Sus scrofa: one gene and its partners. The protein of the gene in region 3 purifies or fractionates together with the protein of the main gene of each other region. This does not show direct contact. Links are inferred from orthologs where the notes say so. Each region holds a gene or a part of one and is shown on either strand. Other genes may lie near its edges.

What was found.
Region 1: the proteins of POLR2E (region 3) and uncharacterized protein LOC106505238 purify together in Homo sapiens (affinity purification with mass spectrometry; 4 studies listed by BioGRID and IntAct, with this or other methods). This does not show direct contact. The link is inferred for Sus scrofa from reciprocal best matches to the Homo sapiens genes POLR2E and POLR1D.
Region 2: the proteins of POLR2E (region 3) and CRCP purify together in Homo sapiens (affinity purification with mass spectrometry; 3 studies listed by BioGRID and IntAct, with this or other methods). This does not show direct contact. The link is inferred for Sus scrofa from reciprocal best matches to the Homo sapiens genes POLR2E and CRCP.
Region 4: the proteins of POLR2E (region 3) and POLR3D purify together in Homo sapiens (affinity purification with mass spectrometry; 6 studies listed by BioGRID and IntAct, counting the BioPlex papers as one, with this or other methods). This does not show direct contact. The link is inferred for Sus scrofa from reciprocal best matches to the Homo sapiens genes POLR2E and POLR3D.
Region 5: the proteins of POLR2E (region 3) and POLR3C purify together in Homo sapiens (affinity purification with mass spectrometry; 4 studies listed by BioGRID and IntAct, counting the BioPlex papers as one, with this or other methods). This does not show direct contact. The link is inferred for Sus scrofa from reciprocal best matches to the Homo sapiens genes POLR2E and POLR3C.
Region 6: the proteins of POLR2E (region 3) and POLR3H purify together in Homo sapiens (affinity purification with mass spectrometry; 6 studies listed by BioGRID and IntAct, counting the BioPlex papers as one, with this or other methods). This does not show direct contact. The link is inferred for Sus scrofa from reciprocal best matches to the Homo sapiens genes POLR2E and POLR3H.
Region 7: the proteins of POLR2E (region 3) and POLR3G purify together in Homo sapiens (affinity purification with mass spectrometry; 3 studies listed by BioGRID and IntAct, counting the BioPlex papers as one, with this or other methods). This does not show direct contact. The link is inferred for Sus scrofa from reciprocal best matches to the Homo sapiens genes POLR2E and POLR3G.

The regions. Positions count from the first base shown.
Region 1 is NC_010453.5:5,042,963-5,047,159, reverse strand, and holds the start of uncharacterized protein LOC106505238, read right to left. Parts: upstream 2,801-4,197; 5' UTR 2,700-2,800; coding exon 2,674-2,699; intron 1,818-2,673; coding exon of another isoform or gene 1,442-1,817; exon of another isoform or gene 1,239-1,441; intron 1-1,238. Other genes in the region: POLR1D (DNA-directed RNA polymerases I and III subunit RPAC2), read right to left, coding at 1,442-1,817, 2,674-2,699.
Region 2 is NC_010445.4:16,619,206-16,623,153, forward strand, and holds the start of CRCP (DNA-directed RNA polymerase III subunit RPC9), read right to left. Parts: upstream 2,801-3,948; 5' UTR 2,587-2,800; coding exon 2,579-2,586; intron 1-2,578. UniProt on the Homo sapiens protein: DNA-dependent RNA polymerase catalyzes the transcription of DNA into RNA using the four ribonucleoside triphosphates as substrates.
Region 3 is NC_010444.4:77,329,498-77,333,554, reverse strand, and holds the start of POLR2E (DNA-directed RNA polymerases I, II, and III subunit RPABC1), read right to left. Parts: upstream 2,801-4,057; 5' UTR 2,670-2,800; coding exon 2,613-2,669; intron 1,276-2,612; coding exon 1,101-1,275; intron 1-1,100. UniProt on the Homo sapiens protein: DNA-dependent RNA polymerase catalyzes the transcription of DNA into RNA using the four ribonucleoside triphosphates as substrates.
Region 4 is NC_010456.5:6,519,592-6,523,812, reverse strand, and holds the start of POLR3D (DNA-directed RNA polymerase III subunit RPC4), read right to left. Parts: upstream 2,801-4,221; 5' UTR 2,650-2,800; exon of another isoform or gene 2,640-2,649; intron 2,410-2,639; 5' UTR 2,405-2,409; coding exon 2,240-2,404; intron 315-2,239; coding exon 271-314; intron 1-270. UniProt on the Homo sapiens protein: DNA-dependent RNA polymerase catalyzes the transcription of DNA into RNA using the four ribonucleoside triphosphates as substrates.
Region 5 is NC_010446.5:99,491,338-99,495,317, forward strand, and holds the start of POLR3C (DNA-directed RNA polymerase III subunit RPC3), read right to left. Parts: upstream 2,801-3,980; 5' UTR 2,465-2,800; coding exon of another isoform or gene 2,363-2,464; 5' UTR 1,879-2,362; exon of another isoform or gene 1,835-1,878; intron 871-1,834; exon of another isoform or gene 866-870; 5' UTR 846-865; coding exon 699-845; intron 172-698; coding exon 1-171. Other genes in the region: E3 ubiquitin-protein ligase RNF115, read left to right, coding at 2,363-2,464. UniProt on the Homo sapiens protein: DNA-dependent RNA polymerase catalyzes the transcription of DNA into RNA using the four ribonucleoside triphosphates as substrates.
Region 6 is NC_010447.5:6,998,351-7,002,489, reverse strand, and holds the start of POLR3H (DNA-directed RNA polymerase III subunit RPC8), read right to left. Parts: upstream 2,801-4,139; 5' UTR 1,711-2,800; coding exon 1,600-1,710; intron 395-1,599; exon of another isoform or gene 1-394.
Region 7 is NC_010444.4:97,679,256-97,682,755, forward strand, and holds part of POLR3G (DNA-directed RNA polymerase III subunit RPC7), read left to right. Parts: intron 1-3,076; coding exon 3,077-3,223; intron 3,224-3,500. UniProt on the Homo sapiens protein: DNA-dependent RNA polymerase catalyzes the transcription of DNA into RNA using the four ribonucleoside triphosphates as substrates.

The DNA of each region.
Region 1 (4,197 bases), on a different chromosome or scaffold from region 3:
CAGTTTCCCCCTCGAAGCTTTCTGTTCCAGTAATTTGGCTCCAAACAAGGTAGGAGGCATCTCTCCTCACCTTCTACATCCAGTTCCTGAGGTCTGCCATCCAGTACCAGTCTGCCCCTCAGACAGTAGCTTAGGGCCCTTTCCACGCCACTTCAACTCTTGGTTTTTCTGCTTCTCTCCTGACCCCTCTACAGTCCACTCCACCACACTGGCACCAGTTACTCACAAGACGTCTCACCCCCAAACTCCTTACCACCCCAAAGACCTTCCCTCCGAGGCTACTGCAGGCCTTTCTCCTCCTTGCCTGCCATGCTACAGATACGGAAATCTTGCAATACCATTAATTCCTCGAACTGCTAGTGCTCTGCTCCAGGACCTTTGCACATGCTCTTCCCTAGACCACCTTTCCTTTTTTGCAGAGCCAGCGCCTTCTCTCCTGTAATCTCTGGAAGGGCCTCTCTGATGTCCAGAGTTAAGGTAGGCCCCCTCTCAGGGTACTGGGGAGTGGAGTACGCAGGTTCAAAGGCTGACAGATACTTAGGGTGATTTAAGAGTCAAGGTGGGGAGGGCAGGTGGGAGACACAAGGTTCAGGAGGTAAACAGGGCAGCTCTTCAGGTGCCTCGCTAGTATTTTAGGCTTTCCAAAAAACCCTTTTCCTCTCTTAGAATCTTCCTCCTCAAATACTGCTTCACTGATGGAAGCCTCAGCTAGACGGAGGTACCAGCCTAAGGGCTGAAAATACTACCTGGTCACCCCAGTTTTCTCCTTCTCTAATACAGTAGTGTCCTGAAATTAAAGCAGTAAGCCAGCATCTATCCTAGAAATGCTGCCACAGAGATGGCACCTGATGCCACCGAAGGTCCTCCCGTGAAACCAGAATTCTCACAGTTCTTTCAAATTATTCCCCACCCTTGCCCCATCTACCGGTCGCAGCGAAGGACGCGATTCTCTCATGAATTTCTAAACAACATCGAGGAAGAGGCCAAGTCTTCCTTCACTCCCAGCTTCCTTTTCTAAACCATCCACGGTGTCTCTGGCGTCAGGCTCTGCTGCGGCTCTCGCTCCCCGGATCTCAGCTGTGCATGCACATTCCTTTTAATTCCCTGCATCCAAGTCCTCGTCTAGGCCCCTGATTTTCTCATGGTTTCCTCACTTTCAGTGTTGGTTCAATTAGGAAAACAAAACACCAACCCTAAAATAGTCAACCTCCAGGACAAAGGAACGGAAACCACTCAAATCGGTTTGAATGAAAGAGGGAATTTATTAGAAGAATACAGAGGGTTCTTGCAGGGACTCCAACAGCGGAAATGGTTAAGAGCTAGAGGCAGGCTCTTCTGCAGGACAGACCAGGTTGTCATCGCAAACTTTTACTTCTGGGCTTTGTCACAGCACCAATACGGTCTCCTAGAGGTCAGTCCTCCCTGGACAGGGCATAAGGGACTAGAAGGTGGACTCCTTTCTGCCGGCTTTATGATCCTTATATGCCTTTATGCTGGCCTCAAACTTGTCAAGCACGTGCTGGCAGACATTCATGAGCTCAGTCAGGCCTCTCTGAAAGGGCTCAACAGCTGGAAGGGCACCTCGAGTCTGTATGCGCAAATTAATTTTGCTCTCTGAAGGATGGGTTGTGGTGTAACCGCAAAACTCCACTTCCGGGTTCTTCATGATCATGTAGCGAAGAGAATTTCCTAGGGTATGGTCCTCCTCGTGCAAAACAAATGTCACACAGTGTCTATCTGTCCCAGCTGCCTGGACCATTTCCAGGGCTGTCTTCCTCTCGCCTTCAGCCATTGGGGTCTTCAATCCAGATATTTTTCTACACACATTTTTTGCAAAAATGAGATCATACTGAATATGCTTTCGTATCTAGCTTTTTTCATCTACGGTATCACAATGGTAACATGCTATTACTCCAATGCACTGCAGTTACAGAGAACTGTTAGCATGAACCTTTTATTTTCCTGCCTCCACATATTCTACCAATATTTAATTTATCGCCTCCAATTTCTCCCTACGCCATTTGGCCCTCCACATGGCCACGAGGGGAGTGTCGTTAAAAAAGCTTGCTAAATCTTATTTGGTAGAGTCACAAGAAAGGGCTATTATTAGAAACGGGTGGGCCCTGCCAGAGGATGGAAGGGGAGTTGAAAGGCGTGGGAAAACGCGACTATAAAAATAGAAACTAAAGCTCCTCAACGTGCAGGAGGTAAGGAAACTAGAAAGGAAAGTCTGAGAAGAGTCATCAAGCAGGAGGGAGAAAAAGCACTCAGCGCAGAGTAGCTTAAAGAGCGCTCTACACGGAGGAGGGACTTGGGCCCGACCAACACACCAATCCCATCGCTCCGGTAACAGGGGACGGTGCGTGGTTCGGAACGTTAGCTATGCTTCCTCTTGCTTTTCCAACGCGGGGGGTGGGCAGTTAACTCTGGTCTCGCAACTTGTCTTCCTTCCTCGATATCTAGAGCACTGAGCGCCTCCATTCAAACCATCCAGGTCTCCCGCCCCCTCTTCCCTCTCCCCACCCTGGCGCCCACCGCTCCCTCCTCCTCGCCTGTCCTCCCAGCCAGGCCCTCGCTGCTAGGCCGGGCCGCGGAGGCTGAGGCCCCGGCCGGCCGCCGGCTCCCAGGGCAGGGCGCGGCCCGCCTCTCCTGCCCCCACTCCCCGGCCGTTACCTCTCCAGCTCCTGGTCCTCTTCCATCGCGGGGGCGGCTTCCGGGATCCTCAGGTGGTGCCGGCCCGCCGAAGGCTCTGCCCCATACCGCGAAGCGTGCGGGCGCAGCAGGAAGAAAGGAAGGAAGGACCGACGGAAGGAGCGCGGACGGAAGGAGGGGGGAGGAGCCGCAGCGGCGCGGCAGGGCCCGGCCACTGGGCGGGGCGTGGAGGCTCCGCCCGGGCCCCGCCCACCCGCCCCGCCCCCGGCGCGAGGAGGGCGTGGCGAGGCCTGAGCCGCTCACCTGCGCTCCCAGAGCAAGTCCTCCCGGGAGGGCTAGCGGGGAGATGGGTGGGGTCCGGCTGCCGCCCCGCCCCAAGGCCGGCACCGGCCGGTGGGCGCCGGAGCTCAGCCCCCGGTGCCTTCCTCCAGGTGCGGGCGAAGGGGGCGGGGCCTTACCTGTGGCCCCCAAACTCCCCTTCTTAGAGCGAGGATCAGGCCTCCTTCTGACTTGCTGCTAGACCTGTGGGGGACACAGTTAGTCCCAGGCGGGTCCCCTGCCCCCCAAGGGACTCTCATGGGACGACGTACTTAAATTATAGTTAATCAGCACACTTTGATGAATTTCACAACTGAAGAGGATGGGTTTAAGACTGTATTTGTCTCATCCGGAATCTTGCAGCTGCACCCCTCAACGGGGTCAAAGGACACGCATTTTCTATTTTGGGGGGGAGGAGCGAGAGTTTGGAAGGAAACCATCTCCACCCGATCCCCACTCCCCCAATCCTTTCTTAGGATCTCCCTGGAGTACGCCCTGCCTCGTTTGGGACGTCCTTTTCCCCTTTACCCTTTTGGCCTCATAAACCTCCTCACCTGCGGAACCTCCCTCTCACCTTTGTTCCCAGGTGCCCCCGCCCCCTTTCACCGTCCGACTAGCTCTCCGCCCTCCTTCTCCCTTCGCGCCTCTCCGCTCTCCGCCCCCCTAGTGTTCCCGTTCGCTAATAATCCTTCTGCCTTCCACGCTCTCCTGCTCCCCTCGCCTCCTCACCCCGGCCAGCCCCGCTCCCTACCCCTCGACCCCCGCTGTCATCCAGCCCAACACGCCTACAGCTCTGCTTTCCTGCGCCACCTGTTCTCCTTACCCCACCCCCGATCCCCCTCGATGTTCGCCGCCGCCCCCAGCTGTTCCCCTCTCCTCGCAGCGTTCGGCGGTGAGCGCTGAGGCACTTCCCGAGCGCGTCTTCTGCTGGGGAATCAGGCGAGCGGCAGGGACAGCCGAGGAGTGGGGAGGGCGGGCGGCGAGGGGCGGAGCGGGCTCACTCTAACCCGGAGTGTCAGCCCCGGCCCGGCCCGCCCCCCGAGCTCCCGGATAGGCGGAGCCGCCCTCTGGCCCGCCCCCCTCCCGCCCTGTGCTGCCGCCGATTGGCCCCGGTGCGTGTCGGGCTGCGCGGCTCGGCCCTGGCGTCCGCCCGGGGGAAGGCAGCAGGGGCGGTTGAGAAGTGAAGTCTTGGCTGGAGTTTGCTTCTTGCCAGGAAATCCGCAGCGG
Region 2 (3,948 bases), on a different chromosome or scaffold from region 3:
TGTGACCTACACCACAGATCATGGCAACGCCGGATCCCCAACCCCCTGAGCAAGGCCAGGGATGGAACCTGCATCCTCGTAGATACTAGTCAGATTCATTTCTGCTGTCCCACAATGGGAAGTCCCTCAATGAACAATTTAAACTGCAGCACTGTCTTAGGAGCTAGCAAACAAATTACCTTCTTTTCTGTCCTGTTACTGAATTGCTTAAGGACCTCTTAGCTAACTTCTCTAAATCTCAGTATTTCCAGCTATAAAATGAAGGAAATTCTGATATTATCTCAAACAGATTATAGAGAAGAGTCCATTCTCCCTATGTATATTAAGTTCAAGAGTAAAAGAATGGGAGTTCCCTCTGTGGCACAGGGTGTTATTAAGGACCCAGCATTGCAACTGCTGTGGCTTGCTGCTGTGGTGCAGGTTCGATTCCTGGTACTGGAACCTCCATGTGCCACAGGTGAGGCCAAAAAAATTAAAATAAAAGAATGAACAGAAGGAGTTCCCACTGTGCTACAGTGGGTTAAGTATTCAACTGCAGTAGCTTGGGTTTCCACAGAGGTGAAGGTTCAATCTCTGGCCAAGAGCAGCGGGTTAAAGGATCCAGCAGCATTGGAGTTCCCATCGTGGCTCAGTGGTTAACGAATCCGACTAGGAACCATGAGGTTGTGGGTTCGATCCCTGGCCTTGCTTAGTGGGTTAAGGATCCAGCATTGCCGTGAGCTGTGGTGTAGGTTGCAGATGAGGCTCAGATCCTGTGTTGCTGTGGCTGTGGTGTAGGCCAGCGGCTACAGCTCCGATTAGACCCCTAGCCTGGGAACCTCCACATGCCGTGGGAAGCAGCCCTAGAAAAGACAAAAAAGTAATAAAATAAATTAAATAAAATAAAGGATTCAGTGTTGCTGCAGCTGTGGCACAGGTCACAGCTATGGCTTGGGTTCAATTCCTGGGGCAGGAACTTACAAATGACATGAAGCCATAAAAATTTTTCTGTGTTTTTGTCTTTTCTAGGGCTGCACCCACAGCATGTGGAGGTTCCCAGGCTAGGGGTCTAATCAGAGATGTAGCCACCAGCCTAGGCCAGAGTCCCAGCAACTCAGGATCGGAGCCAAGTCTGCCACCTACACCACAGTTCATGGCAACACCGGATCCCTAACCCACTGAGTTAGGCCAGGGATTGAACCCATAACCTCAAGGTTCCTAGTCGGATTCATTAACCACTGAGCCACAACATCAACTTCCTCGGCCATAAAAAAAAAAAAAAAAAAAAAATCAATGAATAGAAAGTGGAGTTCCCATGGTGGCTCAGCATAAACAAACCTAAGATAGAGGATGGCAAAATCAATTTAAGGAGTCAACATTCTATTTTAATAGAAGAGACTACTAGAGTTACTGTATACAACACTGTCTCAGGAAGCTTTCACTTCAGATACATATACGTATTGTGGTTTTTTGGGTTTTTTTGGGTTTTTTTTGTCTTTTTGGCATTTCTTGGGCTGCTCTCACTGCACATGGAGGTTCCCAGGCTAGAGGTTGAATCGGAGCTGTAGCCACCGGCCTATGCCAGAGCCACAGCAATGAGGGATCTGAGCCGCGTCTGCAACGTACACCACAGCTCACGGCAATGCCGGATACTTAACCCACTGAGCAAGGCCAGGGATCGAACCCGCAATCTTATGGTTCCTAGTCGGATTCTTTAACGAGCGCCACGACGGGAACTCCAACTGCGTGTGTGTGTGTGTGTTTAAGTCTGCAAAACAGTACATATAAACGTGAAACATGAAGTAAAAGAACATAAAGGAAAATGTCAGGATTAAACAATCAGAGTTCCTGTCCTAGCTCAGCTGCAATGAACACGAGAAGTATCCATGAGGATGTGGGTTTGATCCCTGGTCTCTAGCCTGATAACTTCCATAAGCCACACCTGTGGCCCTAAAGAGCAAACAAAACATAAACATGTTGCCAAAGAGAACGCAACATAGGTATAAAAATCCACATACAAAGTAGCTGCAAAAACTTCCCTCTGCACGCAGTACAAGGAGCAAACATGGAAAAGCCGATGTGGAGTTACAATTGTTAGAATGGCTTCTACTCCTAGCCCCCCACCCCAACCCCACACGGCTACCTGCTTCTTAACTACTTTGCAGAGCACCTCCTCTGAATCCGGGCTCCCCAGAAGCCCACTGCTCCTAAGCAAAACTCTACTCCAGCATTTCCCCACCTCTCCTCCAGGTACTTCCAGGCCGGACCCAGGGTTTAATAAGTCCCTGCTCTCATACCCAGCTCCCCACCGCGACCTGGCGACGCTGTTGAGTGCGTGAGGGAGGGAACAGACACCTGGCACCCCTAAAGGCAGCCGGGCCAAGTGGCCCTCGCCCCACGTCCTGAGCACGCGGTGGGAGAGGGGGCGAAGGTTCAGAAGGCCGGAGGGAGAGTCCCTTCCTAGCCTCCTGGCCCGCCGCCCTCCCCGCCCGCCCGGACGAGGAATCGCCCCCGGCCCACATCTCCCGGCTCCCAGGAATTAGCCGTCCCCAGCTCTGAGCGTCGCCCTTGAGCCGACGACGCGCCCCGGGCGGCTTACACTTCCATGTCGTCCCCGCCTCGTCGCCTTCGGCCGGACACAGACCCTCACCGCCCATCCGCTGCTCTCGCCGCCCGAGCAAAGCGCCCGGAAACCGACTCCGCGGACCGCGGTGCACGCCGGGATCGCCGCGCTGCATGCCGGGATCCTGGAGGACCCCCGTGGGGCCGGGGGCGTTGCTGGCTCGTCTTCCCGACCCGTCTCTGCGCTCTTGGTCCGACCTCAGGCTGTCAAACGTTTGCAGACGGATTTAGCTCACGTTTTCGTGGTCTAGGGTATATCCAAGTATTAATCCAAAGATGTAATCGGATTCGTAGGCATTTGCAGCGTTAAAATCCCACCCCTTGGATAGTAGCGATGGCAAGGGGCGAGGTGGCCTTGGGCTGCTGGACATGCTCTCTTTCAGGATCTGGACGCCGAGTAGGTGGTGCTTCTGAAAATTCGGTGGGCTGTAGCTTATGTGCACATTTCTGTATGTGTGTTATAATGGAATAAAACGTTCTAAAAGGTGAAAAAAAATCTCAGACTCCCTTCTCCCTGTTCCCATTCTTCACTATTTGTCAGAAAATTATGAAGAGACTTCTTGACAGTCTCTGATCTGGCCTTTCTAAGAATTTGCCCAAATGGAATCATCAGATGCTTGACGAAAGATCAACGTGTAATGATAATTTTGCTGGGAGATAGCCTACATACCCAACAATGGAAAATTGATAAATCGTGTTTCAGCCATACAGTATGCAGTACGATATATGTGGCCCAAGTAATCTTGTAGCATATTTGATATGCTGGGGAAATGCTCAAGACAGATTTTTTTTTTAAGATGGAAAATGATGTGTTGTGACTCTAATAATCTAAAGAAAAATAATGCATAGGGGAAAAAAGACCTCAGGGTAAGGGTGATACAGCCACCTAATCTATGAAATTTTGTGTCTTAAAAAAAAAAAAAAAAAAAAAGAGTTCCTGTTGTGGCTCAGCAGTTAACAAACCCGACTAGCATCTATGAGGACTCAGGCTCTATCCCTGGCCTCACTCAGTGGGTTAAGGATCCAGTGTTGCCATGAGCTGTGGTGTAGGTCACAGACACGGCTCTGGCGTAGGCAGGATGTTACAGCTCCTATTCGACCCCCTAGCCTGGGAACCTCAAATGCTGCAGACACAGCCCTAAAAAGACAAAAAGGAAAAAAAAAAGTGGAAGGCTGATGTCTATTTTCTTCTGAATTTTTAGTATGTTTGAAGTATTTGGAAGGAAATATGCCAAAAATTAAAAATGGCTGGTGTCTTTAGGTGATGAATCAATTGCTAATTTTTCCACTTTTTTATAATTATATCAGTTATCATTTACTAAACACTGTCTCCTTGATAAGCGTTTT
Region 3 (4,057 bases):
ACCTCCATATGCCGTGGGAACAGCCCAAAAAAATGGCAAAAAGACAAAAAAAAAAAAAAAAAAAAAAGAGTTATCAAGCCACAAGAGAAGGTAAGAAAAAAGACAAAAAACCCAAGCCCAAAACAGTTAATAAAATGGCAATAAGAACACATATATCGGAGTTCCCGTCGAGGCTCAGAGGTTAACGAACCTGACTAGTATCCTTGAGGACACAGGTTTGATCCCTAGCCTTGTTCAGTAGGTTAAGGATCTGGCATTGCCGTGAGCTGTGGTGTAGATCACAAGATTCAGCTCAGACCCTGCACTGCTGTGGCTGTGGCATAGCTCTCACTCAACCCCTAGCCTGGGACTCTCCATAAACCGCGGGCGGGGCCCTAAAAAAGCAAAAAGAAATAATGTCATTTGCAGTAACATGGATGGACCCAGAGATTATCATATTAAGTAACCTAAATGAAGTAACACAAATACTACATGGTATCACTTATATGTGGAAGATAAGACATAACACAAATGAGCTGTGAAACAGAAAGACACATAGAAAACAGATTTGTGGTTGCCAACGGGGAGGGGACTGAGGGATTTTGGGATTAGCAAGCACAAACTCTTTTTTTTTCTTTCATGGATCCTAGTCGGGTTCATTAACCACTGAGCCACAAAGAGAACTCTCAGATGCAAACTCTTATATGCATACGGTGGATATACAACAAGGTCCTACTGTACAGCACAGAAAACTATATTCAATATCCTATAATAAACCATAACGGAAAAGAATTTGAAAAAGAATAATTATGTGCATGTAACTGAATCGCTTTACGATACACCAGAAAAGAACATAACATTGTAAAACATAATTCAATAAAGTAAATCTTAAAAGTGCCCTCTGGGTCTGCTCAGCAGGCATTTTCTGCACTCTCCCTTGCCTGGAGGCACACCAGGGTGGGCCCCCAAGGTGCTTGTGACCCAGCATGGTCCCCTACCTTTGGGGTTGAGAGCCAGGCTGCCTCAGTGGAGGCACTACATACAGCAGAGAGGCAGAAGGATGAGGGGTACAGACTGCGTGTCAGGGCAGGTGGCTGCTGCTGCCCTGAGCAGGCCCTCACCTGGGAAGAAGACGAACATCTGGTCGGTGGGGTCGTCATTATGGGCCACCAGCACCGTGAGGTCTGTGCGACGCGGCCGCCCTTCACTGGGCTTGTCCCCAAACTGGGCCTTGAACTCCTCCAGCGTCTGGTCCAGCTCGTCCTGGGTCACCAGGTAGCCACGGTCGTGGCAAAGCTGCAGAGAAAAAGAATCAGGTGACCAAGGTGCAGAGAGAACAGCAAAGGCTCAGGGTGCTCAAGGCCACTGCAGGGAAGATGGGAGCAGGGCTGGGATGTGAGGAGGGCTGTTGATTCCAAGGCCAGGCCCTTGGGTCTGGGGCAGAAAAGGACAGCTGTCTGGGAGAGGTGCTGCTGGGCTGCCTGGGGCAGAAGGCTATTGGAAAACCAGGCCAAGGCCTGGGGGCCAGCAGATCTAGGTCCTGACTCAGAAACTGGGATTCTTTGAGTGGACAGACCGGATGACCACCCAGACAAAGAGAAAGCCACCCACTCTGCCGGAATCCCCTTTCTTCAGCCAAGTACCCCACAGCTGGACTCTCCCTCTTTTTTTTTTTTTCCTCCCTTTTTGCCATTTCTTGGGCCGCTCCCACGGCATATGGAGGTTCCCAGGCTAGGAGTCTAAACCGAGCTGTAGCCACCAGCCTACACCAGAGCCACAGCAACGCAGGATTCCAGCCAAGTCTGTGACCTACACCACAGCTCACTGCAACGCCGGATCCTTAACCCACTGAGCAAGGCCAGGGATCGAACCCGCAACCTCATGGTTCCTAGTTGGATTTGTTAACCACTGAGCCACAACAGGAACTCCCGGACTCTCCCTCTTGAGCGCTCACTCTTCTCACCCAGGGCCCGCGACACGGTCAGCCTGAAGCAACGCTGTTCCTACCCTGTCTTTGGGTAGCACTGCAAGGAGGTGGAGAATATGGGTGCCACTGCCCCAGCTTAGTCCAGGCAGGATCCCCGCCGTGGCGAGGGTGGGTGGTCTTAGTCAAGGCCCGAAGCCTCCGTGGGATCACAATCGCCCCCTCCCGTGGAGTAGCCTAAAGCACGTGGCACACAGAGAACGCTTAGCTAGGGAGCTGGCATGACTTGGAGCCTATCAGCCCGAGTAGCTCAAAGTTGGTGGCCAGGGCGCGCTGTCAGGGCAACCAGACAGCATTGAGACCAGCTAACCAGGGATCCTTCCATATCCACAATCCTGGAATACTGTATCAGGCCCTCAAAACAGTGCCATAACTTTCCGGAAAGAGGAACACGCGAGGCCAATTCCCTCCCTCCAGCTCCAGCGAAACCCTGACCCTCTCCCCGGCGTCTCTCGGACTCGCCACTCAGCAGTGGTCGGCGGGGCCCCTCTGTCCCCGGCCCAATACGGGCCCCACCTGGGCCAGAACCTTCCCCTGAGCCGCGCGGCCAGACATAGAAAAGCTCGTTCCCATCTTCGGGCCTCGCGCTGGCCGTCCGCGCGCCGGACAGCGTTCGCTTAGTACTAAGGGCAGCCCCCGCGCGTCTCACCTGCATGATGGTCTTACGGATCTTCCAGAGCCGGTATGTCTCCTCCTCGTCGTCCATGGCTGCCGCCCCCCTCGAACTTACAGCGCCTGCGCTCGGCAAGACCCGTGCCCACTGCGCCTGCGCCGCGCCGCTGTCAGGCCCCCTCCACCTCGCCCAACCCTTACAGGGCTGTAGTCAGCTAAAGCCTGAATGCAGCGACCTTTGGGAGGGGCAGAGCCAAGGGCAGCCCGAGCCTTACTAAAGCGGCGGTTGGCTGCGCGAAAAGAGGGCAAACACCACTCACCCGCTCCTCGGTAGATCTCGCGTGGTTTTGAATGCAAGGCCTCTCTGGAGGCGTAGTTTCTGCTCAACGCCCGCCTAGGGAGGACGTTTAGAATCCAGCGAGGCAGATTCTTAGCAACATGGATGGACGTAGAAACTATCATGCTAAGTGAAGTCAGCCATACAATGAGACACCAACATCAAATGCTTTCACTGACATGTGGAATCTGAAAAAAGGACAGACTGAACTTCTTTGCAGAACAGATGCTGACTCACAGACATTGAAAAACTTATGGTCTCCAGAGGAGACAGTTTAGGGGGTGGGGGGATGTAATTGGGCTGTGGGATGGAAATCCTGTGAAATCAGATTGTTATGATCATTATACAACTACAGATGTGATAAATTCATTTGAGTAATAAAAAAAAATTAAGGGGAAAAAAAAAATCCAGCGAGGCAGGAGTTCCAGCTGTGGGGCAGCGAACTAAGGATCCGTCGTTGTCCCTGCAGTGACTGGGGTCGCTCGCTGCGGAGGCGCGGGTTCGATCCCAGGCCCAGTGGGTTAAGGATCCAGCGTTGCCACAGCTGTAGCACAGATCACTCTTGCGGCTTGGATTCAGTCCCTGGCCTGGGAACTTTCATATGCTGAGGGGGTGCAGCAAAAAAAAAAAAAAAAATTCAGGTAGGCAGAAGCAAGGGGAGACTGAGGCCTTGACAGGGTCTTGGGTACGCTCGGTTCCCAGGATGTTCGTACTTACTAAGAGATGGTTCGTAGGTGTTTGTGTGATCAACTGCAGGGAGTTTTCTCAGTTGACTCAGGGCCATGTCCAACTTAATGCCCTAGATCCTCAGTTATCCACTTTGTACAGTGGAAATAATAAAGTGTCCCCGTCTTAGAGGATTAGCTGAGGACCTAAAGGGATTGTTAGCTTGGGAGGAGCTTGGCATAGCTCCCACTGCTTATGAAATGCACTCATCTCTGTTTTCCTAGTCCCCTGAGGCCCACCCCAGCCCCTGGATACCCCACAGCCCCCAAGATTGTGCATGTTTTTACAACCTCCACATCTGCCCACACACACACATACACCACCCCGGTTCATACAGGAGGTTTGCCCAGCCCAGTGCCCCTGTGTCAGTGGAGGCCATCAGTAACTTCTCACTCGGTAATACATTTATTCAATGATTC
Region 4 (4,221 bases), on a different chromosome or scaffold from region 3:
CAGTATTTTTTTAAAGCTTGCACATCAGAATCCCCTGGGAGCCTACTGACAGACCACTGTAAAAATCAACTACAATAAAAAATTTTTAAAAAATCCCCTGGGAGCCAGGGTTGAAAATAACTACTGAAAAGAACTAAATCTATCAACTTAAATTTCTCTTTTTTTCTTTCTTTTTATAAACTTAAATTTCTGAACCACATACCTACTTCCTTCCCCCAAAGCCCAAGTATGTAAATAAGGAACAAGTATTCAGAAGGTCTGGCTACTTACTCTTCCTTGATCTTCCGACTGATGATATTTGGGGTGAAGGTTTTCTGAAAGTAAAATACCGGAGTTACTGATTTGGTTAAGTTCTGATCCCAAAGCACAGAGGAAAATAAAAACTTCCAAAGGGCATTTTCTATGGATAAAGACCAGCAAGGTTTTATTCTACACACGCCACACCGTTGTCAAAGATTTACAGAAATGGGCATATGCTCAATTTTTTTTTTCTTTTTAGAGCCACACCCTCAGCATATGGAAATTCCCAGCAAATTCAGGCTAGGGGTCGAATTGGAGCTGCAGCTGTTGGCCTAAGCCATAGCCGCAGCGACACTGGATCCGAGCCGCATCTGTGTCATATACACTACCGCTCACAGCAATGCCTGATTCTTTTTTTTTTTTGTCTTTTTGGGTTGCTCTTGCAGCATATGGAGGTTCCCAGGCTAGGGGTCTAATTGGAGCTGTAGCCACCCGCCCACGCCAGAGCCTCAGCAACGCAGGATCTGAGCCGTGTCTGCAACCTACACCCGAGCTCACGGCAACGCTGGATCCTTAACCCACTGAGCAAGGGCAGGGATCGAACCCGCAACCTCATGGTTCCTAGTCGGATTCTTTAACCACTGTGCCATGATGGGAACTCCAGCAATGCCTGATTCTTAACCTACTGAGCGGAGCCAGAGATGGAACTGGCATCCTCACGGATACTAGTAGGGTTTATAGCCCACTGAGCCACAAAGGGAACTCCTGTACATGTGCTTGAAAAGGAAGAAAGTCACATCATAGTGGCAGTGGAATTACATATAGAAGAAACAGGCACCAAAAAACATTTAAACAGCAGCTTCAGCTTCTGCCCTCTGAAAGGAGAACTTCGGGACTTCTAACAATAAGGAAATTTCCCTAATCTCACTCCTTGTCTTCAAACTGCTACAGAGACCACGTAGTATCACAGGGAAAGAGCTCTAGCAACAAGGCTCCAGTAGGGAAGACAAATTAATTAGCACTCATAAGCAAATGACTGGGTCAGAAGGCCACTAGAATTTCCCAAAGTAAACTCATGCCTTCAAAAACTGGCTGCTTGGAGTTCTTATTGTGGCTCAGCAGTAATGAACCAGAGTCCAGCAGCTACAGCTCCGATTCAACCCCTAGCCTGGAAACTTCCATATGCCGAGGGTGTGCCCCCCCCACAAAAAAAAGACAAAAACTGTCTGCTTTATGTTCTGTCATCCTCCCCATCCCCCCTTTAAGGGCTATCCTTTACATCTACAGGCAATTAAACATAATACAAGGGGACAGAGCCTCTAACACCATGCCTAGGACTCATAATACTTTGGATCAGATGTCTGCACACTGGGAACCACAGCAAATTCAGAGCTCTTTAAAACTGCAGGCAAACTCTATGCCTGGGTGGCTTTCGCAGCTTTTTGGGTTTTTTTTTTATCTTCTTTTTAGGGCCACACGGCCGCACCCCCAGCATATGGAGGTTCCCAGGCTTGGGGTCAAATGTGAGCTGTAGCCACTGGCCTCCACCACAGCCATGCCAGATCTGAACCAATACTGTGACCTACACCACTGCTCACGGGCAACGCGGGATCCTTAACCCACTGAGCAAGGCCAGGGATGGAACCTGCATCTTCATGGATACTAGTCAGATTAGTTTCCGCTGAGCCGGGATGGGTACTCCTTTCAGCACTTTCTTAAGGATGTTCAAAACACACATAAAAAGGAAATGAACACTGCTCAAAGTGCTTTTGATCTAATTAGGATTCTCTGCTCTTCAGCCTTTTCTGAGAGCCATGACAACATTTTGTATCCAGTAAGTAGCTTGACTGGAAGGTAGGGGCAGGTTCCCCGATATTGCAGGCAAGATTCGTGAGGCCTAACGCTATGCCTGCCATACTGAAGGCCCTACAGGTACTTCAGTCAAAGGTGTCTGCAGTTTAGGGCATTTGGATTCATTTAGAATGGTGCCCTCGGGTACCTTCTTGACTCCTCCGAGGGTGAGGTCCCTGGAGCGGATGGAGGGAAGGCGGCCTGGGGTGAGGGAAGGCGCCGGCCTCCTCCCGATAAGCCCCCGGGCACCGGGCAGGAGGGGTCGGGACCCTCCTGGAGTGCTGGGATCGCCGGCGGCGTTTCCTTCCGACATGTTGCCTGGGGCAGAGAGAGGAAAGGAGTAAAGAAGTCACTGAAGGAGGAGGACATGCGGACCCTGGCCGGAACCCCACCCACGTGGCCTCCTGCCCCCCAGTCAGCGCGGCCCTCCCGCAGCGTCCCAGTTCCTCCTCCTCCCACGTGGCGAGACTCCCCGGACCACCCCCGCTAGAGCCCTTGGCTCGCTCTCTCCTTTGGTCCCCCCGGCCAGGCACCAGGCACGGACGCACCTCAACGCACCTGGGCTGCAGCTCCGCACCTCGCGCGTCCAGACTTCACATCCAATGCGACCCGCAGCCCACCCTAGGCCTCCGCGCCGGGCGGAAGTCTGCGTGGCAGGGCCCGGGCGCCGCCATCTTGCCGTGGGGCGGAAGTGAGGTCGGGGGGTGGGGCTGGGCCACACTATTTATCCCGCGGCTCCTCGCTCCCCTCCGCCTTCTCTTCCCGGTTCTTCCCGGAGTCGGGAAAAGCTGGGTTGAGAGGGCGAAAAAGGAAGAGGGGACTGGTTTAGGTTACGCCACGTTGCAGCGCTTGGGGGTCGTGCCCCGGAGCGTGAAGTGGAGCCGTTCAGCTCTGGGTCTGGGGGTCGGGCGGCGAACATGATGCAATGTGGGGATTCGCTGCTGTGGAGCATCCGGGTCGAGGCTCACGATGGGGCGTGGGACGCGGTGTAGAAAGCAAGACCCCCGACTCAGAATCGGGGAGTTCTGGGCCAGGCCTCGCTCTTGTTCAGGGATCCCTTACCGGGCACAGCGCTGGAGCAACTAATGCCTAACGGCACCTGCCCTGGCTTCGTGACTTTGGGCCGTTGTGTGCATTCTTGGTCCAATCCTGGAACCAGAAAAACGAAGTTTGCTCTACTGGGAGGGGCAATTTTAAATAACTTTTCTCGTGACTCCAACATTTGTAATTTAACCTAGAAAAAAAGATTCTCTACTGTCATTCCTCCCACCCCCAAATCATGTGAAAACCGTGTAACAACATTACAGAAAGCTTGAGAGAAGGAAGACTTTTGTTAGAATCACACATGGAGTAACTACTAAAACTTTTCTGCTATATTCCAATCCCCTTCAGAGATTTCTTATTGTACCACAATTTTGAATCCTCCCATTTCAAATAACCTTTCTTCGTTGCTGCATCAAACGACTGCGCGTAATTCTCATGAATTATCATGATTTGTCTGTTTTCCGGTTTGATCACTTAAATTATATCTTTTCTAGTGTTGTAAATAACAACGTAGTGAACACCTGGTGCATTTAAAATTTTTTATTCTTTTGGATTATATTCCTAGGGTGAATTTCCAAATTTGTGATACCTAGCCACAAGATGATGTACTTTTTTTTTTTTTTTTTTTTCTTTTTAGGGCCTCAGTGGTGGTATATGGAGGTTCCCAGGCTAGGGGTCTAATCGGAGCTGTTGCCGCCAGACCAGAGCCCCAGCAACACCAGATCTGAGCCGCATCTGCGACCTACACCACAGCTCATGGCAAGAGGGATCCTTGACCCACTGAGCGAGGCCAGGGATCAAACCTGCGTCCTCATGAATGCTAGTCAGGTTCATGAACCGCTGAGCGGCTACAGGAACTCCAAGATGCACTTTTTCTTAAGTAAAAATTTTTATTTTGAGATAATAGATACATATGCAGTTGTAAGAAATAATGCGAAGAGCCAAATTCTCTACTCAGTTTCCCCAATAGTAGGATATTGTAAGCCAGAATATCAACATTGTCAATCAAAACACCTTCTATCACCATAAGGATCTCTCTAGGGCCCTTTTATTTATTTTTAAAAAATTTTTAATTTATTTTTGTTT
Region 5 (3,980 bases), on a different chromosome or scaffold from region 3:
AATCAGCTCTCCAGTGTCACTGTACAGCGTTTTGGCAGTATAGATGTACCGGGGATACCTAAGCATTCGCAACACCCGGCTGCACTGGGCTTCATACTCCACCACACCACGTTTGTGCACTTGATATATCACCAGGTTATGCTGGATGAGGACACAAAGGGCTTTTTTAACCTAGAGAGGACACAAAAGAAAGAGAAAAAAAAATTGGAAAATGCAGTTCATTATTGTTGGCAATTTCTGTCCAACAATTTACTAAACTTCAGGAGATGGCTGGAACCTCCGTGCATCTTCTCTCTCTCCATTGGAATAGCTGTTAAGAATCGCATTGTTCATCTTATGAAGAAATCAGGAGGATTCCTAGCTCATATTTCCTCTGATCTTTATCTTACAAAGTACAACTTACTTGCTCTCTGTTACTGCCATTCCTTAAAGGTAGTGCTGAAATTAATAGACTCATCATGCATGAATGAAGTATGGCAAATGAAAAGCACAGGTTTGCCTAAGAAGCCACAGTGAGCCAGATCGCTTTGAGAAGCAGAACCTTAGGCACTATGTCTCATCCTCTCTCCCTCCCAATGACACTGTTCTGATCTCAGTGTAGCTCTCTTTTGTATTTTGTGGGGTGGGGAGTAGTAATATTCAAGGGTAGGTAAAGGAAACTAATGAAATAAAAGCAAATTAGTGTGATCCAAACATACCTGATCCAGCGATGTTCTTGTGTCATGGGCAATAACTCTTAGTGGCTGGCTGCCAGTTCTGATTAGGTGGACTCCAATTTTTTCTACAATCTCTCCAAAATGCTCTTGCAGCAATAAAGAACACAGTTTAATTTCTGCTTGAGTCATTGTACTGAGAAGTCTCAGACCTGAGAAAAGAAAAGAAAAGAAAAGAAAAAATAGCACGATGGGAAGTTTTTCTTTTATGTTGGAGTAGAGCTGCTAAGTGTAAATTCATGTACTTTTTGGAGGGCAACTTGACAGTAGATACGTCAAAAGCCTTAAAATCTTGCATATCTTTGACCTAATACTTTTGCTTTGGCTATTTTGTTTCAAGCGAATAATAATGATGTCACTTTAGAATACTGACATTCCAGAAACAATATAATATCTAACAATACGGGATTATTTCAATAAATTATGGTAGACTCATACAATGGCATACTACGTCTATGTTTACAATGAAGTGTAACATGTATTAGTGTACAAAATTGTTCATTAAGTGAAAGAAGCAGGTTACAAAGCAAAATGTAGAAGAAACTTAAATTATTGTGAAAAAAAAACCCCCTTTTTTCTTATAGGTATAAGAAAAAAAAGACTGCAAGACAATATATCAAACTTATCCTTATGGGATGTACGAGTCCAATTTTCTTTAAATATCGTGTGTAGATGATTTTATTTGGAGGAATTAAGGACACTATTCACAGCCTATTGGGAGTGAACAGGAAGTGTCATTCCCAATCCGTAAGAAATGACAACTTTGCAAAATAAATTAGGAGCGTCTCAACAGAGTGTTTCAAACAACAGATGAAGCATGTTGTTGGCAGGGCAGTATTCTGAAATTTCTACTCCTTGACAAAGTAGACACAAAAAGAAACAAACATAGTTGACTATAAAATCACTTGTTGTCATAAGTGCTACCACACACTGGTCTGTTCATTTATTTCTCCCAATCCCTCAGAAGCCAAGACTGTGTCTTTCAGTCTCAGTATTCCCACTCACAGGTCTTTGGGGAAGTATCCCCAGACCATCTGCCATCCTTGATAAGGATTTCCAAGGAACCTGGCTCCTGATTCTACACTTCCTTCCCCCAGGTTCCGGTTCCGGACTGGGTCCCTGGGTCTAGAGAAACGGCCTCATTCAGACCGCATTTTCCACTAACCTCTGGGTCAATGCAATCTAAAGCCGCCGCCGACCTCGTGCGGCTCCAGCCAGCGGCTCGAGCAGAAGGCACCCCAAGGCCCTTTTGCGCAGGAGCCCGGCCAACGAGGAGGGTCAGCAAAGAGGAAAAACGTGTGCCGCTCTACCCCAGCGTTTCGGTGGTTTCCGGGGACGCTCTTGCTTCCTTCTCGCTGGGAGGTTGGAGGACCGGCGAGGGGTGTTAGAGGAGCCGGCGGGAGGGCAGCGCCGGACGGACTCTCCTTCCTGTAGCTCTTTGGTGCCGGGAGGCGGGCCGTGGGGTCGCCGTCCTCGCCGACGCCTTGTGGGCCGGGCGGGCTCACGTGACCCGCGCGGACTCTGGAGCGGCCAGCTGCGCTGAAGAAGCGGCGGCGGCGGAGGCAGAGGCGTCTCTTGTAGCCGGGAGGTAGCGGCCTGGGGAGCGACGGGCCGGCTGCCCTCTCGGACGGCGGCGCCGGGAGAGAAAAATGGCGGAGGCCTCGGCGGCCGGGGCCGGCGCAGGCGCCGCTGTTGCCGCGCACCGGTTTTTCTGCCACTTTTGCAAGGGCGAGGTCAGCCCCAAACTACCGGTAAGAGTGTGTGTCCTCTGCACGCCAGCGTCCGCGTGGGTTCCTCGTCCGGATGTCCCAGAACGGCGCTTAGGCTTCCCGCACAGCCCCGACTCCCCTGACATGGGTATCCCAGGTACCTGCTGCCCACTGTCTCCTAAACCCCGGGCGTCCGGGCTGTGTGGCTCAGTAACTCCCGCCCAGCCTTTTTTCCATTCGGATGCTCCACCTGTCCCTCACTCTTTCCCCTTTTTACCTGCCCTCTATTATTTTTTTTTTCCTGGTTTTCCTTAGCAAGTTTTCTGCTGACCCCCTCCTCTCCGTTTTCTTACATTCTTCTTCACCTTGTCTCTTTCCACAATGACCTCCCCCCCCCTTCCGCTGTTGCTTCTCATCTTTATTTCCTTTTCCACTTTTCATCAGATCTCCCCTTCCACTATCCTCATTGAAGCAATATAGCGGATTGCTGAGGATTGTCTTTATTCATTGTCTCTAGGGAAGGAGGGAAGAAAGCGGGGCGGGGGGGGGAGGGAGGGTTGGAAGGTAACTGGGCAGAGAGGGGGATTTTACTCTTCAGGGGTTTCCAGCGTTCTTGTGAAAGTGAAAACAGCGGTGTACTAATGACTTGCGGACTGCGATCCCAATCACTGTCGAAGGAAATGGCTTTAGGAAGAAGGCAGAACATATTCTTTCAACTCTCTTATTTTGGTTGTCATGCTGCCAGTATCTTTAGCACCACCTGCCTTACCCGCCCCTCCTTCCCCTCCCCCATTCTCTCTCTTCACTTAGTGAGAAGATCTAGGACAGAATGTTGGGGACTGCATCCTCTGACGTAAAATTGGTTTTCGTCAGTTTCTGCCAGACTGTGTTAGCCCCTAGAGAGGTAGTGCTGTTGGCTGTGGAAAAAAAGTGCTTCTGCAGCATGCTTGCCAGCTATTGCACCCCAAGCCCAGAGGCTGTTTTAGGTTGAGTTACTACTGCAGGGAGATCCACCAGGGTGAATGTTAATCCTACCTTTGGCCAACCATCTTTAGAACTAGTTATGGTTGTTCTTTTCCTTAGAAGTATCTTTGTTCAGCCTTAAGAGGGTGTCTGTGTAACTACTTATCTCAGTGTTTATAGTGTCTCAGATACAATCTGTGAGAAAGCCTATTAAAGTGTGTCTCTGTGTCTTAGTTCTTAGAAACACCAGTGGAGTCCAGTGAAAAGTGCCTAAACAGTATTTTAGCCTTTTCACTTGAGTTGTGCTTTTTCAGGCTTTTGCTGTATTTTCTTTCTTCTCTATTTGCCCCACCCCTAACTTCATGGTCGTAGTTTCATCTACACGCTCTTTTAGTTTTGCTTGGATGATTTGGCTGTGTGTCTGTGTCTGTGTGCTTTTTGCTATACTTCAGTGCTGAGAAGAGCAGGTGCCGTGGCTTGTTTGTTTGTTTGTTTGTTTTTCCAGTGGACATTGGAGGCTCCAGAACTCTTCCTTACCACAGAGAGGGAGTCTGGAATTCAGCCAGTGCATGTGTGATGAGTGACATGTTGAATG
Region 6 (4,139 bases), on a different chromosome or scaffold from region 3:
GCAGGTGAAATTCTGTCATTCCATGGGTTCGCGAACACCTGTTTTCATAGCATTTAGCTCAATTTGTCTAAAGACACTCAACTGTGGGAATCGCTTGCTCACATCTGCTTTTCCCACGAGACTACAGAGCAAAAGCTTGTCTTTTATTCGTTCAATAAACACTTACGTAAATATGGGGGACAGAGGGGAAGAAGACAAGAGTTCATGCTCTCATGGAGAGGGAAAGAGAAAAACAGAAATCAACTAAACAGGAATTCCCTACTACCTCAGGGGCTAAGGACCTGGAATTGTCACTACTGTGGCACAGGTTCAATCCCTGGCCTGCCAACTTCAGCACGCCGAGGGCCGGGCCAGCAAAAAAAAAAATGAGAGGGAGTTACTGCTGCGGCTCAGTGCTGACGAACCCGACTAGTAACCATGAGGACTTGGGTTTGATCCCTGGCCTCACTCAGAGGGTTAAGGATCCGGTGTTGCTGTGAGCTGTGGTGTAGGTCCCAGACATGGCTCGGATCCCTTGTTGCTGTGGCTGTGTAGGCTGGCAGCTGCAGCTCTGATTCAACCCCTAGCCTGGGAACTTCCATATGCCATGGGTGTGGCCCTAAAATGCAAAAAAAGAAAAGAAAAGGCAGTGGGAAGGCCTCTGACGACTTGGCACTAAGGCATGCAGGCCTGGCACATAAAAGGTGCACAAGCGTTCTTTTGCAGAAATAAACGTGACAGCCAACTTTAAACTACCATCCACCTTCCCAGAAACAATGGATGGTTGGACAGCAATTATTATTTCCACTTTACATATGGAAACTGAAGCCCAAATGGGGTAAATGACCTGCCCCAAACTGCAAAGTAAGGAGTTCCCATCGTGGCGCAGCGGAAATGAATCCAACTAGGAACCATGAGGTTGCAGGTGTGATCCCTGGCCTTGCTCAGCAGGTTAAGAATACACCGTTGCAGTTGTGGTGTAGGTTGCAGACGGCGGCTGGGATCTGGTTGCTGTGGTTGTGGCGTAGATCCGGCAGCTGTAGCTGATTCAACGCCTAGGCTGGGAACCTCCATATGCCGCGAATGAGGCCCTAAAAAAGCAAAAAAAAAAAAAGCAAAATAATTCGGAAGGGTCCCACTTGCAGCGGCCTTCCCCCTTCCCCCCCCCCCTTTTTGGTTATTTTGCACCCGCGGCATATGGAAGTTCCCAGGCTAGGGGTCAAATCGGAGCCTACACCACAGCCACAGCAACGTCAGATTCAAGCCGCGTCTCCGACCTACACCACAGCTCACAGCAACGCTGGATCCTTAACCCACTGCGGCCAGGGATCGAACTTGTGTCCTCAAGGATACTAGTCAGGTTCGTTTCCGCTAAGCCATGACGGCAACTCCACGACGGCCTTTTTTTCAAGCCCAGTTTTTCTTTTGATTCCCTCCAACATTCTTGTGGGGTAAGGATTACCCCTATCCCATGCACAGGTGAAGAAACCGAGCTCTGAGACGTTAGGCTACTTGCCCAAGGCCGAGGCTTGGCACCGACAGGCCGAAAGCGGGCAAGTAAGCAGCGCTGGGCCCTCTCCGGCCAAGGCCGGCCAGCGACCCCATGGACCCAGTCAGTACCTTGTTGGCCAATTTCTTGTTCAGCTCCTCGGCAATAGAGTCGTTGAGCTTCCTCTCAAACTGCCACGGGGGTATCCGCACGGTGTCAACCATCTCCACCAGGACAAACATCCCGCCTGCGCGGGGGACTCTGGGAACGCGAGTGTCAGTCACGCACAGACACCTGGGGCGGCGGGGATGCCGGGGCCCGCTCTGTCGGTCCCAGTCGCTGACGGGGCGGCGGGGATGCCGGAGCCCGCTCTGTCGGTCCCAGTCCCGGAGCCCCCCAGGTCGGCAACGGAGCTGGAAGCCGGGGCCTAGGGTATCTCCGTAAGGGGCGTGCTCCTCTACTGCAAGCAGAGGAAGCTGAGGCTCCACGGGGAGGACCTCCTGGTCGCGCGGGAGGGGCGCGCAGCCCAGTCAAGCCACACACACCACGCACTACGCACCACGTGCCTCCGCCACGCACCGCGGACCCACGCCAGCAGCACTACTACGGACGATAGTCCAAATCCGGTAGCTTCCGGGAGACCGACCAATAAGAAGCTTCGGTCCGCCCCGTCGCGAGGCGGGGCTACGTACCGGTCTGCTCGGGACGGGGCCACCCCTTCCGCCTGCGTGGAATCGTCAATCCCAGGCAACGCTTTCAGGTTGCTAGGCGACCTCTGTGCCACCGGGCCATCTCTGCTTGACCTGTGCAGTACTCTCCTGGCTCAGGCCTACCTCGACGCTGCAGCCGGCCCTTCCAAATGCAAACACAGTATGCCTAGACCCTTCAATACTCTGGAATCGGGGACACTGGGCTGGAAAGGAGCAGGCGAGACCTTTATAGGATGATAGAAATGTTCTGTATCTTCTTTTTGCCGGTGGTTACACAGGTGTAGACAGTTGTCAAAACTCGTCGACCTCAAGACTTAAGATCTTTGCATTTACTTGTAATTCAGATTACATCTCAATTGAAAAGGGATAATAAATTGGGACAAAAAAAAAACAACCAAAAACCAAAAAACCCTTACTGATTTACTTTTGAATTAGCAATAAGGTCCAAAATCTTTATCATAGCTCACAAGGCCCTGCGTGGTCTTGTCATTGTCCACTCCTCCAGCCCTGGTTTGTTCTGTCTCACCACATTCCAGTCTCACTCATCTTCATGTGATAGCTAACATGGGCTTGGACTAAAAGAATTTCATACCTTGGAGTTCCCGTTGTGGCGCAGTGGTTAACGAATCCGACTAGGAACCATGAGATTGCGGGTTCGATCCTTGGCCTTGCTCAGTGGGTTTAGGATCTGGCGTTGCCGTGAGCTGTGGTGTAGGTTGCAGATGCGGCTCGGATCCAGCGTTGCTGTGGCTGTGGTGTAGGATGGCGGCTACAGCTCCAATTAGACCCCTAGCCTGGGAACCTCCATATGCTGCGAGAGCGGCCCAAGAAATGGCAAAAAGACAAAAAAAAAAAAAAAAGAATTCCATACCTTGTCTAAGGCCATGGGCTGCTAAGTGGTAGAAGTGGGCCCCATACAAATCTGTACAGTACACAGCCTTCGTGGAAATACACTGCGGGGGGGGGGTGTTCCTTGTCTGTTTGGTTTTGGCCATGCCTGTGGCATGTGAAAGTTCCCTGGGTCAGAGATGGAACCCAAGCCACAGCAGCTATCCCAGCCACTGCAGTGACAATGCCAGATCCTTAACCCACTGCCCTACAAGTGAACTCTACACTGCAGTGTCTTGTTTTGTCATTTCTTTTCTTTCTTTTTTTTTTTTTTTTTTGTCTTTTTGCTATTTCTTGGGCCGCGCCCGCGGCATATGGAGGTTCCCAGGCTAGGGGTTGAATCGGAGCTGTAGCCACCGGCCTACACCAGAGCCACAGCAACGCGGGATCCGAGCCACGTCTTCGACCTACACCACAGCTCACGGCAACGCCAGACCCTTAACCCACTGAGCAAGGGCAGGGACCGAACCCGCAACCTCATGGTTCCTAGTCGGATTCGTTAACCACTGCACCACGACGGGAACTCCTGTTTTGTCATTTCTTACTGCAGTATAGTTTTTGTTTGTTTGTTTGCTTTTTACGGCCACAACCCTGGCATATAGAAGTACCCATTCTAGGCATCTAATTGGAGCTACAGTTGCCGGCCTATGCCACAACCACAACAATGCAGAATCTGAGCCGTGTCTGCAGCCTACACCACAGCTCACGGCAACGCCAGATCCTTAACCACTGAGTGAGGTCAGGGATCGAACCGGCAACCTCATGGTTACCAGTTAGATTTGTTTCCGCTGTGCCACAACAGGAACTCCCATTGCAGTGTAGTTGATTTTCCATATTGTGTTAATTTCTGCTGCACAGCAAAGTGATTCAGTTATAAACACACATTCTTTTTAAAATATACTTTTCCTATGGTTTATCATAGGATATTGAATATAGCTCCCTGTTGTTTATCCATTCTATGTATAATAGCTTACATTTGCTAACCCCAACCTCCTGCTCCGTCTCTTTCCCAGCCCCCTTCCCCTTGGCGACCTCAAGTCTGTTCTCTGTGTCTGTGAGCCTCTTTCTGTTTT
Region 7 (3,500 bases), about 20 Mb from region 3:
ATATATTATGTCCTTAAGATTTCATAATACAAAGAGAAATGGGTATTATTATTCCTTACTTACCAATGAGGAAGTCAAGGCTTTAAAATTTTTACTTGCATAGCCAAGTTGGCATAGCTGCATGGTAACAGAAACTCATTAAATTTTATTTTTGACCAGTACTTGAGCTAGAGATGGCATGTCTGAAAATCAAGCCAGAAGGATTATTGAAGGAATAGCAATAACTCTCAGGTTTAACTGTGGTGGAATGATGGATGGGTGTGCCATTTTATATTGATTGAACACAGATTCTGATTATTCTTAAAACTTCCTGGAAAGAAGTTGCTAAGATGACATGTGCTATAAGGAAGATTGATCTGGACCATTGGATGTGGTTTCTCAGCAGAACAAATTGTGTCTCCTTATTCCTACATTAAAACACCTTATTTTCAGTATACACATTGTTAAAACTGGAATTTTTAAGTCTAGAAATCCCCAGGAGTTAGTGGCTAAAATAGAGCAAAGTTAGCTTCCAGATGACTATTATTGTTTATTTCTTCAGCAAAAGTAGTTGTAAGTTTGTTTGTTTGTTTGTTTGTTTGTTTCTTTCCTTCTTTTTATCTGCTTTTTAAAGGGTGGTACTTGTGGCATATGGAGGTTCCCAGCCTAGGGGTTAAATCAGAGCTGCAGCCACCAGCCTATGCCATAGCCACAGCAATGCCAGATCCTTAACCCACTGAGCAAGGCCAGGGATCGAACCCACATCTTCATGGTTCCTAGCTGGGTTTCTTAACCACTGAGCCACAAAGGGAACTCCCAGTTGTAAGTTTTCTTTAATAAGGCTTCTGTGAGGAGAGGGAATGACATATAGTCAGATCTCATGATTAATGTGTGAATAATCAAACAGCAGTAAACTAATATTTGAGCTTTTTATTCTGCATGATACAAATGTAGGTGGCTCTCTCTAGGGTGGTCTATAGTATTTAAACCAGAAGAACTATTTCCTATTCATAAATTAACTGTTTTTGAAGTATTTTAATATTGTATTGCTCACATTATTAGTGAAACACATGTAAAGTAGTAGCAGTAAGTAGTTACATCTATGGCGACTACTAAGTAGATGAATCAAAACTAATAGCTTGGAGTTCCATGGTTGCTCAGCAGGATCCGGCACTGCCACTGCTGTAGCTCAGGTTCTATCCGCAGCCCAGGAACTTCCACATGCCTCTAGTGGAGCCGAAAATAAAAATAAAAAACCAATAGCTTAACACAAAAAGAATGACACAATGAGACAATGTGTGTGCCTCTGCAGTCTTTTTTCTAAATTTCATAAATATGATAATTGTTAACTGATTTAGGTATTTTATTGGTTTGATTTGGAGGTATGTGGTAGTAACAAAGTTGAGGTTATTTAAAGATATTTGCGGAGATCCCGTCATGGCTCAGTGGAAATGAATCTGACCAGCATCCATGAGGACGCAGGTTCAATCCCTGGCCTTGCTCAGTGGGTTAAGGATCTGGCATTGGCATTAGCTGTGATGTAGGTGACAGACGCAGCTTGGATCCTGCATTGTTATGGCTGTGGCATAGGCTGACAGTTACAGCTCCCATTTGACCCCTAGCCAAGGAACCTCCATATACTGTGGGTGCAGCCCTAAAAAGGCAAAAAGAAAAAAGATATTTGAGGTGGCAGTAGTGGAAATAAAAATCTCCTAGTCCCTATGTAGCACTGAATGAATTCTCTATCTAAAAAATATTATACGTAACTGGTTTAAAAATCCTATTGCTAATTATGAAGTAATAGCTAATAGCATGATTTTTTAGACATAGCATATTCCTTGTACAGAGTTAAGTAAATATAGTATCATAGTTGCCTTTGAACAACACAAACTTGCAGGTTGTAGGCCTTTTTACTATAGTTTGATTAAAAAAGAAAAACGTTTTGTGTATTAATTAATGTTAACATAGCATCATTATGTGTGTATGTGTGTGTGTTTATAGACACTTCAAAAAAATCGATAAATACCATTTTGTTTACTTCCAAAGGATGGCCAGTTGGGAAAAATTGCACACAGTATATTGTAGTAATAACTTATATAAAATAATATGTGTCAGTATGAAGATAAATCATCTTATGTCTATTACTTCGGTCTCAGTTTTTCTATCTTAGTAGGGAGGGTGACAGGAAAGTGGAGTTTGAATTTTTATTAAAAATTGAGTCTTTCTGATACAGTCTTTCATTGTCTTTGATTTCCTTAAATTCAAATTTGAATGTACTTAAAGGAATTTTTAAAAAATAAATATTTAAGAATCAATAATAGAATAGTTAAATTGTAGTCACTGCAAATGCAAAATATGTTTTCTTTTTTCTTTTTACGGATGCACCCATGGCAGAAGTTCCTGGGCTAGGGGTCAAATCAGAGCTGCAGCTACAGGCCTATGCCACAGCCATGGCAACATCAGATCCTAGCCGCATCTGTGACCTAGCCCACAGCTTGTGGCAACGCCAGATCCTTAACCCACTGGGTAAGGCCAGGGATTTGACCTGCATCTTTAGGACACTATGTCAGGTTCTTAACCTGCTGAGCTGCGATGGCAACTCTTGTTTTCTCTTTATATCTAATCTACAGAGCAAATATCTTGTAGAGTATTTATAGATTTATAAAATAGTGTTCTGATTACTGATTAAGAATAGTCATATTTTAGTTAAATGTTATCATTACATTCTTTTTTTTCTCTTTATGTCAGGAGGAAAACAAAATAACACTTTGAAAGTTCTTCTGTATAAACCAAATCAACTCTATTTTAGAAGGAGTTAGCATAGAAATCATAAAAATAAAGCATTGTACATCTAGAGCCAAAATCCCAGCATTACCTAAGACCCACTTTTGAAGTATCAAAATCATAGAAAGTACCAGGGTAATGACAGGCCAGTATCTCCTTTCTTGAATTAACTCACAGAGTCCTAAGTGGTGGTCTGGAGGTGTTGGGAAGGGAAGATTAGATTAAGGTGATAGGTAACTCTTTACCTGAGGTTGAGCAGGGAAATCAGAGTCTAGTGGTTTCCATTTAAATTAATTAAATGCATTTATGCCAGGAATTGGAAAAGAGAGGTGATGGTGAAAAATCAGATGAGGAAAATGAAGAAAAGGAAGGAAGCAAAGAGAAAAGTAAAGAAGGTGATGATGATGATGACGATGATGCTGCAGAAGAGGAGGAATATGATGAAGAAGAGCAAGAAGAGGTAAGGGTCTATTTGGGGAGGGTAACAAAGTTACTAGGCTTAAAGATGATCAAATACAGAATCAGATATATGGTAAATACTTAAACAAAAACCAAGTTGATGGGAATCAGGGGTACATTATCATCACTGGCATCAATCCTTGGTATCAAGAGAATTATAGCATTGGAATTGTAATGATACCAATTGAGATGTAGGAGGCATAACTTGATGGCAGCTTTGTAAGTGGAAGTCCACCAGTTAAGGAAATTGATCAGATTAGTGTAACTAAGATTTATCT